Linked DNA regions of Drosophila melanogaster. The protein of the gene in region 1 interacts with the protein of each later gene in a pairwise test. Each region holds a gene or a part of one and is shown on either strand. Other genes may lie near its edges.

Region 1 (5,523 bases):
ACGCCGCCACGTTGTTGGGGCGGTGGCGGCTTGCTGCGCTGGTAGATCAGGCTGGCCGACTCCCGGGAGCTGGCCGAGAATAGGCTCTCACAGCTCTTTGCCGACGCTCTAGAAAAGGGGATTTGGGGGGAGGGGAAGACTTTAGATGGTGGCTACTGCCGAAGATGTGTACTCTACCCACGCCATCAGATTGTTCGGTTCCGATTGGGATACTCTTGGGCCGTAGGACGATGCCAGCTTGCGCGGCGATACCATCTAAGGTCCTGCCGCTGCTCCGGAGGATTGTCACTGGGTTAGCTCGAGAAAGCTAATAATTTTCGGAGGCCAATTCGGATGTCTAGTGTATAGAAATAGATAGAGAGTCGGTGCGAGGTGAAGTCAAAATGTAACTGAAAACCAAGTGCCTGCTACTGTGGTTACGCCTTGATGTTTGATGTCTGATTATTGTTTATTGTTTGCTCCGCCGACTGCTGCGTTGTTGGGGCTGAATCCGGAATCGGGGCTCCTAGGAACTGGTTGCCATGACGCCTCCGATTGCTCGTCTATCGAATTGGGGAATCGAGACGACTTGTATTCGTTTTCAAACGCTTCCGCTTCCGCAAAATTTACAATTTCTTCTTTTGAAGCAAAATATATCTGTAACTATGTATTTAAGTTGTTTAACTAGTAAAATAATTCGCATTTCGGGTAATTAAAATTTAATAGATTCTTACGGCTTGGATACTTTCAAAAAGACCAAAGGTTGAAGCTTCTCTGCAGTTTATTCGTTAATTAAAGCAACATAAAATCACTTAAGTTAAAAACGACGTAAAATAGAGATTGATTATGGCTCCTCATTGGCCTTGGACTTCATCTCCTGGTATTTGATGCGGTAGGTTCCCTCGGGATCGTAGATCTTTTCCAGACGCTCCCAGTCGGTGGGTCGGTTGTCGATGAGATGACGGGTCACCTTTTCAGCACCATACCGCTGCTTCTCCGTGCACTTGGTGCAATCGGTTTGGATGGCGTCGGGCAGGATCTCTACAAGAGATTGGGTATTACCGAGAATTATTGAATTGGGCTTCAAGCTTACCCTTCAACATCTTGGCATCGGGAGTGCAAGGACCTGTGCCCTCCAGGCACTTTATGTAGTTGATCAACAGTCGCTCTTGGTTAAGGATCTCGTCCAGATCGACGTTGTCGAACTTATCGTCGTAGGCCTGCTCCACCATTCTTTCCATCATTGGTGACGGCGACGTGGCCGGCGGATGGGGTAGTCCTTCCACTTGGAAACAGGTGGTGCACATCAGTGCCACCACCAACGAAACGTGCCCAATGGCACGACGGAAACCGGGCTGTCCCATTTTCGAATCGATCGTATGCTGCTAACCGTATTAGCAATCCGGGCTTTTATATGTACAGGCCTCCGTTTGGAAATACACTGCGTGTCTCCGTCCAATTTGACCACTTACCAATCGGGCTCAAATTAAGTCAATTTAATTTGATTACCTTGAGCCCATCAACAGGCAAATGCGGTAGTGGCTTATTTTCTAAAGAAATTAAAAAAAAAATCATTCTGGGCTAAGCAGTTTGTTTTTTGTGATATAAAAATAAAATATCTAATAAGTTAGCAATCAATAATTATAGGGCTTTGTGTGATACTATGAATGTCAGCGTTCTGAAACAATTTTGCTTACTAAAATCTGCATGCTTAATCTAAAATTCTAAGCTTTTGAATTTTTTTGGGACCTACAAAAATGCAAAATTATTAAAGGTCCTTCGGTTAAGAATTTAAAATTATAGTTCAAACTTAAAAGGCATCCCATTAAATTGAATTTCAAAACTTCTTCGCGCCCATAAGTTAAATTCTAATAGGTGTAATCTAAAACAGTAATCGAAAATATATCTTTTTCCATCTGGTACACCGATCAACGAAATAATCGATAGCGATTTGGAAAACCAAGTCAGAGATATATCGATACCAGAGCGAGTGGGTAAACCAGTCGGTTCGGCGCTTTCTTTTTCAATGGACTGAATTTTCTTTAATTGCTCTATTTACGCAAGCAAAACGAATCGATGCAATTGTCCGGATCCGGAAATATTGCGGCATAGTCAACGCAATTGCAGTGAATTTTCAACCCGTGGATTGCGTCACAGTGCGGAAAATGCGAATTTGACGACCATCTGTGCGCCGATCGGTGGAAAACTCTCGACTTTGCTGTGGGCGCCCCACCAAGGACGACCTAGAAACGCCCCAGACGGGCAGCAGAAAGTAGGACAGGTGACATCACAGCAGCACCATGATCCACGTCGGCGAGAACTCGTGGAATCTGCGGATCTTCATCACGGATCTGGCGCTGGAGAAGACGATGCGCGTGCGCGGTGACCAGCACATTGGGGGCATTATGCTGCAACTGGTGGATCCGGAGAATCCCAAGGACTGGTCGGATCATGCTCTGTGGTGGCCAGCGCGGAATGTTTGGCTCAGCCGAACCAAACTTACCCTGGATCAGTGCGGTGTCCAGGCGGATAGCCTTCTGCACTTCACGCCCATGCACAAGATACTGCGGGTGCAGCTGCCGGATTTGAGGTACCTGGACTCCCGGGTGGATTACTCCGTAAAGACGTTCTCGGCGGTGGTTAATCTATGCAAGCAGTTGGATATCCGCTATCCGGAGGAGTTGTCCCTGTGCAAACCACTGGAAGCGGAGCACCTGAAGCGTAACTTCGCCCAGGTGCCGCATCAGAAGCGAGTGCCAATCGCTGAACCAGATGGCACCACTTACCTGCAGCCTGCTGCGGACACCAACTCATTTGTGCCCATCAGCACGTCGTTTCATGGAGAAGGCGGAAGCACGGGCAGTCTGGACAAGCCCTCTGCACCGGGATCCTTCTTCTGTGCTCCTCTGTCGCCGCACAATCACCGAGCGCGCTCGCCAGTGCGCACCGTATCACCTTTTCCAGGCACCTGGAAACAGAGCCAGCTTGGCTATGCCACGTACGATTCGAGCTCCTCAAGTCTTGGCGATTTCCAGGAGAATTTGGCCAGCTCTCCGCCCACCCCATGCGCGGATGTGCGAGCTCTTCAGCTGCGCCCCAAGTCGCTGGTGGAGAAGGCTCGTCTGAATGTGGGCTGGCTAGATTCCTCGCTGTCCATCATGGAACAGGGCATACGCGAGTACGACACGCTGTGCCTGCGCTTCAAGTATTTCACTTTTTTCGATCTAAATCCCAAGTGCGACCAGGTGCGCATCAATCAGCTGTACGAGCAGGCCAAGTGGAGTGTTCTGAACGAGGAGTTGGATTGCACAGAGGAGGAGAGCCTTATGTTTGCCGCCCTCCAGTTCCAGGTGAACCATCACGTAGATCATACACCCCAGGGTGCAGCAGTGGACTCGGGCATTGAAACTTCCAGTCAGGAGAATGACAACGAAGACGAGATTGATTCGGCACTGAAAGAGCTACAGATTACGCTGGAGGGACCGGACTACGGCGGAGACTCGCGGAATATTACACGCATACCAGAGCTCTCTGACTATTTGCGTTACTTGAAGCCGCAAAGATTCACGCTGCGCGGCTATAAGCGCTACTACTTCACCTATCGGGATCTGCATTTGCATCTGTTCAAGAACGCCGAAGATTCGCGACGTGTTGCGCCTGCCATAAGCATTAACCTGAAGGGCTGCGAAGTAACTCCGGATGTAAACCTGTCCCAGGGAAAGTATGCTATCCGGCTGGAGGTCTCTCCTGATGGTGGCCACGGTATCAACAGTGAGGTGTGGGTGCGCTGCGAGAACGAGCAGCAGTACGCCAAGTGGATGGCTGCTTGTCGTTTGGCGGCCAAGGGAAGATCCCTGGCGGATAGCTCGTACGAGAGTGAAGTGGACAGCATACTCTCGCTACTGCAGATGCAGCGACCCGCACACGGAGTTCATGTAAACATCGATCCTCGCTCTGTGGAAGCAGTTGATTATCTGTCGCCCAAGATCATCCGCAAGTTGTCGAACAAGGCAGTCCAGCGGATCCTCGAAGCACATGCCAACGTTCGGGAGCTGAATGCTTTAGATTCAAAACTGAAGTACATCCAGGCATGGCGTTCGTTACCTGACTTTGGAGTAAGCCTGTTCATCATTAAGTTCGACGGGCATCGGAAGGAGGAGCTGCTCGGCGTGGCCCACAACCGCATTATGCGCATGGATCTGAGTTCGGGAGATCACATCAAGACCTGGCGATATAACACCATGAAGGCGTGGAACGTCAACTGGAACATAAAGTGCATGATGATTCAGTTTGAAGACGAGAATGTGGTCTTCTCCTGCCACTCAGCCGACTGTAAAGTGGTGCACGAGTTCATCGGTGGTTACATTTTCATGTCCATGCGATCCAAGGACACCAACCAGACCCTGAACGAGGAGCTTTTCCACAAACTTACCGGCGGCTGGTCCTAGTACCATTTATTGCTCGATTTTAATGGCAGGCAGTTTCAATTGTTCGAATTTTGTTAAGATAAACCACTGTTTTAACTGATAACCAACTGATAGACTCACAACTTCAATGCAATACATGTATTTAATTTCACTTTATTTACCTTTTAACTCGTTGTTAACTAATCTTGTTGATGATTTTTCACCACGAAAATCGCTTGCCAATGGCCTTTTTGCCTGCCCAACACCTAATTAGACTTAACCGTGGCCTTAGCAATGTTTTTGTATAACTAACTCTTAAGTGTATATTTAAATAAAAATCCCATATTAAAATTCAACTATTGCTTGGGTATTGGACTTTTCGGGGACACTAGTAGATTTTTTGAGGTTAAAATATTAAATTACTGAGGTCAGTAAAGGTCATTAAAAGAGTAATTTACTGATAGTCCAAAAATATTAAACTTGTTCAGTAAAACATGGCAATTAAAAGTTAAGTAAAATAATTATTAGGTACCAAGTGGATCAAAGACCAAGGAAAACTGTGGATCGCGAAATAAGTTTTAATTTAGAACTATTACTACTTGAAAGAATTACTATTGATTGAAAAAGTTTTGAACCGAATTTCTATGGCATTAATAGATTTGAGATTTAAAATAATATTGTCAAAATGTATCATTTAAAATTACGCGGTATCGATTGATAAACTTATATCGTGAAGCTTAATCGATTAGCTCTCGATAATTTGGCGCCAGCTTTGTTGAATTGTCATGGAAACGAAATTAGCATTTCGACATTGATTTCCCATTAAAATACAGTCTCTAAATTAAAGTAAGTATATTTAACTTGGGCTGCAGATCAAAAGTGCCAGATTCTGCAGTAATTAGGATATGGAGAAAACGGAAAATACTAAAAATTCTCGCACCACCTACGAAGTGCAAAGGGATTTTGGCTTCAGCAGTGGGCTGCGTTCGGAAATTATTTGGGATTCGTATGTTATGCAATTACTTAAATCATCGTACCTGGCTAAACTATATTTATACCCACAGACTAGCCCCGGATCAGGGTGATGTTCTAAAGCAAAAGATAGAGAACCTCATTCGCGATGATGACGCCCGCAATG
Region 2 (4,901 bases), 240 kb from region 1:
CTCGCAGAGAATGTTCTCGGGAAACCGCAAGTCGTAGATATAAACTCCACCTCGCAGATCTCCGCCGTATAGAAAGTGTTCGCGCTCGTTGCGATCCAGGGCGCAAGACCACAGCATCTTGTCATGAGCGGTGAACATAGACGAGCAAAGCCGTGTTCTTATGTCGAATATCTTGATCTTTAGTTCCCGACTGGCCACAGTGAGCAAGTGCTGTGAGTCACTAAAAGCAATGTCCCGGATTAGGAGTGCCGAGGTGTGCAGGAATTGCAGGGGCTTGAAGGTAGGTGGATCAATAAAGCGTACGCCGTAGCCGGGGAACAGGTTTTGGGCACTCTTTTGCGAGGCCACCAGCATGGAGTGCTTGGCGGAATAGAGCAATACACGGCAGCCGGGATCTCGAGTTATCTCGAAGTTCTTCTCCATGTACAATCGGTAGGTGGCTAGTTGTTGAATGCTCTTCTGGCCGGATGCATCGCCTCCGAAGGCTCCCCGACCACCACCTGCCCTCACCAGCTCCTTAAGCCGTTCGTAGTCCTTCTGCAGGAGAATCAGCTTCTCAGTGGTGAGTGTGTTAGCCAGCTTCGCGGTAGCCAGCTCTGTTGTTAGAGTATGTGTACGCCGCCGCTCCGCCTCCAGCTGCTCCCTAATATCCGTGTCCAGCATCTGAATGCGCTTCGCATACAGATGACGGATATCTCTAAATGTGGCCTTCGTCTTGCACTGCGGGCACACCTTCACAGAAGATTGGCGATGGCTTTCGTTTAACCACCGCCGAATGCAGCTTTCCCCAAAGAGGTGACCACATCGCAGCGAGACCAGTCGATGCTCGCCACTCATCTCCCAGGAATCCAGACAAATGGGACAGGTCATGCCATCGTCCTCGTCATCTACAACTATTGGTTTGCCCTCGGGCGACTTTTTAAGGCTTTTATCGGCAGCAGCGGAGAGACGTTTACGTTTCTTGGGCGGTGATGGCGTTTCTAATGAGATCACCTCCTGCTCTTCGCCTTGATTGCGGCGGGAATTTCTCGGGGGACTGGGCAAATGCGGAGGATCTACCAGAATTAAAGGCGGAACTCTCGGTTGCTCGGGTTCCGCGTTCTCACCAGGCTGGTCACGTTGTTCATCAATCTCAACCGCCGGCTGCAGACCTTCAACTGGATTGAGGATTACCTCATCATCACCAGAGCTATCATCTGTAGAGGTCTCATCGGCATAAACTTCCGGATCAAGAGCTTCGGTTTCATTCTCCATTCCTTGCAGCAGGATGTCTGAATTCCGCTTTCTCGCTTCAGACTGATCGCATTCCCTGCTGCCCGATGAGTATATTTCCGGATCCACGGCGCTGTCGCCTTTTGCGAAACCTTCGCTGTCCGTTTCACCTATATATGGTCTCAATCAAGTTTTCCTCTTGGAAAACATGAAAGTTCTTGTTATTATTTTATCTATTTCGCGACTTTCCTGCAATAGGACGCTAAATTTCAAGCTAGGGATGGTCAAGATCGAGATGCTTTAGTGATGGAACAACGGGGTGAAACTATCGAGTACTACATGTAAATAAATATATTTAAATATTCATTGTTAGTGTGGACAACATATTAGTCTGAACACATTTTTTTCGTATATCAAGCATATAAAAAAAGAATCTATATAAGAGTTGAGTGTTTGTGCGGAAAATGCAATTTTTTAATTGTTTAAAATAATTATAAATGCTTTCAATTAAATTTTCACATCTATTTATTCTACCAACAAGTTGGAGTAACTTGTAATTAATCCTGTTTGTTCGTTAAATTTGATTTTCAAATTTTATTCATGTTGCTATAAACATCGATTGCCAATTAGGCTAAGCGATAGGTTTTGGGATTTCTGGAACATTCCAAAACGTTCACTCTGAGGTCTGACTTTGACGCCTCCGCCGCCATTCGTTAAAAAACTGAAATTCTTAAAAAGCGCGCATCAAGCCGGTGTAATAATTGATAAAAAAGTTTAAAAAAATCCCAGATTCCAAAGTTGATAAAAGTCATACCGCGCAGGACTGATTTAGGGGGTACAAATAACATTGGCAACCGGCGTTTCGCACAGCGGTAAAATTTGCATCAGTGTGTGGGTGTTTCGCAAAAAAAAAAGAAGCTAAGCCAGGATTTTTGGATTGCCAATTATCAAGGTGCTAGGAAAGAGGGCGTGAAGTTGTCGGTAAGCTGACCGAGTACACGTGAATTAAGTGCAACGCAATTTGCTGACTGACTAACCCGCCCCCCGTGGCCTTGAACTCGACAGACTTGGCTGCCGTCCACTCACCCACAAACACACATACGCACATATATACACACGCGCAAGCCGCTTCTACTGTCTGAAGAGAGGAGAGGAAAAGAGCGAAGAAAGGGGAAGAACGCATAAATCGGCAAGTAAACGAGCAGTGTAAGAAAGCCATGACCGAACCAAGGACGCCCGAGAAGCTGCTGGCCGCCAAGCCGCCGGTTTTACACCACAACAGCCATAGTCCCAATGCCTCGCTGCAGCTGCCCAGTCCCATCATCACGAGGCGCACTCGCACGGCCTCGACGTAAGTCCTCCTGCACTGCCCTGCCCACCCAACCAGCAAAACCACCCACCCACTACTGGCCCCACACACACTTGACCCCAAGGGGAACTTGGCCCCTATGCAGAGCCTTTATGGGGCCAAATAGGCGCCGAAAGTTCACATTATTTCACAAGGTTCGCTCTTTTGTATGAAAACCAAATACAACCTTTTGAAATAGTAAAAGAATAGCATGGAAGCTTGTAATTTCTAAAGCAAAAGCTTTCTATAATGTTTTAAACTGCATTTGTTGAATTAGATGAGCAAACATAATGAAACAAACAGTAATTAGTAATCGAACATGGAACACTTTATTGGTTCCACATTTACATTTAATATATTTATTTTTATGTGTATATACTTATAAATATTTTTATAACCGTAAGGACCATTTTTTTTGAAAGTTTAAATTTGTAAACCCCATACTTTTTCAATTATTTCATTGTACATACATACATACATTCAGAAATCAGTCGCTGCCGAATTTATAAGCTCTCGGAACCCTTTCGAACATAATCCACGTACTTAAATTCTTCCCCCTCATATCCCCATGCGCATCCTCCATTGATTAACTTGTCTCTTCCTGCTTAATTCTTTTCCCAAACGCTGCCAAAACGCAAACACGCGCAAACTCAAAATAACGCTGAAAAAACATAGCTCCGCTCGGGCCTTGGAAAATCCGGTTGTGACCGGTATGGTGAAATCCTTCAGCCGCACCAAAGGACACGGCTTCATTACACCCAACGCCGGCGGAGAGGACGTTTTTTGCCACGTTTCCGAGTAAGTGAATGAATATTGCATGCGCGGCGACCTTTGCGCTGGCTCTGTAAGACCTACAAAAATGTAATCTTCCCACAGCATCGAAGGTGAATATGTGCCCATGCCCGGGGACGAGGTCAAATACCGTCTGTGCGCCATTCCGCCCAAGTATGAGAAGCACCAGGCCGTGCACGTGCAGATTAGCCACCTGACGCCGGAGGTGCACCACAAGTGGGAGGAGCCATTCTATGGTGGCTCCTCGCCCGCTAAGTAAAGCTGAAGCTTGTGGCCCTGGGAGATTTCGAAGCTCGGAAGCGGAAAAGTGTGTTGTTAAAAGCTGAACGGCCTTCCAAGAAATTTAATTGAGCTAGAGCACGCCACCCGAGATGAACGAAACGGAAAACCGGAACAGAACAATAACCATGAAAGTAAACGAAAGCACAGCAATCGAAGCAGCCAGGAAAAAGCCGAAACCAGACCAGAACGTAATAGAATGGAACAACAGGCCTGCCATCCAGCCAGCCAGCGAGCAGCATCACAAGAGTTTCAATTGAACACTTAATTAGAATTTAAGCTAAGCTATGGAAGTCAAACAAAACGCAGTCACAAATATTGCCTTTCCCTCTGGAAGAGGGGAGAGCAACCGCAACCAGTTTCGAGTATATTATTAAAAGCGCGTATGTATTTGGAAATTGAAATTGTTATTCGAGAAGCCACTAGCACAGCGCCTGCGATGCTGTGGTGCCCTGTATCAGTAATTACTTTTAATTATAACAAAACATCTGAATGTGTTCGCGAAGCAAACAAGCAAAATGCTCTCAGTAATTCACTTTATTATTAAAACAGCTGCAAAACAATTCCATCGGTGATTTTTCTGGAGTGGCGTGGGAGTTATCAGCATGGAGTGTGTATTGTACGCACAATTGCGGTCAGCATAATAGCCGCTTGCTTGTATGTGTTCTAATAAAATTTTATGCAAAATTATTAATCTTACGTTTTTATTACGGCATCTAAATGTTCATTTTAGATATTAGCTAATGTCTGATTGTAATATCACGATATTCATAACATGGCAAAATATTGTTTTAGCCGCAGCTGTAACTTGTATTTAATTTAGTGGTGTATCTTATCTGCAGTGAAAGCAGATACTTTTTGCAGCCCAAAGCATACATGAATTTTTGGCTCACTATTGAAAATATATTTCCTGCGTTCTGCAGAAAATCGAAACCGTAACATATTCAATAAAAAAAAACCAACCTTTTTGCCACAATAGATACCTAAAGATTTCCGCCCGCTAAATTTATCAAGTAGAGCCATAAATAGCCAAACCAACTCATACTCCTAAAATTATGGATTTCCATTTCGTAAGTCTCCCGCCACTCAGTTTGAATTTCGAATGATTAGTGTGACCATGCGGCGGTTTATAGCAACTGCATGCGTAGTGCGACAGAGAGTTGCTATAAAAATATATTGGAACGTCAACAAACATATGCCACGAAAGAAAATATTCCGATTCAACGGAAAATGAATTAATTAAAGACCGAACTGGCAGATATTCAGAAAG

Evidence for each region.
Region 2: the proteins of Fit2 (region 1) and CG9705 interact in a two-hybrid assay, tested with the Drosophila melanogaster proteins (one large-scale study listed by BioGRID).

What each region holds. Positions count from the first base shown.
Region 1 is NT_037436.4:17,022,379-17,027,901, forward strand, and holds Fit2 (fermitin 2), read left to right. Parts: upstream 1-1,949; 5' UTR 1,950-2,279; coding exon 2,280-4,427; 3' UTR 4,428-4,739; downstream 4,740-5,523. Other genes in the region: CG6652 (uncharacterized protein), read right to left, coding at 1-108, 182-255; a10 (antennal protein 10), read right to left, coding at 824-1,020, 1,073-1,343; CG7730 (uncharacterized protein), read left to right, coding at 5,291-5,391, 5,450-5,523.
Region 2 is NT_037436.4:16,778,228-16,783,128, forward strand, and holds CG9705 (uncharacterized protein), read left to right. Parts: upstream 1-1,872; 5' UTR 1,873-2,193; exon of another isoform or gene 2,194-2,277; 5' UTR 2,278-2,429; coding exon 2,430-2,563; intron 2,564-3,235; coding exon 3,236-3,358; intron 3,359-3,436; coding exon 3,437-3,611; 3' UTR 3,612-4,192; downstream 4,193-4,901. Other genes in the region: mus302 (mutagen-sensitive 302), read right to left, coding at 1-1,254.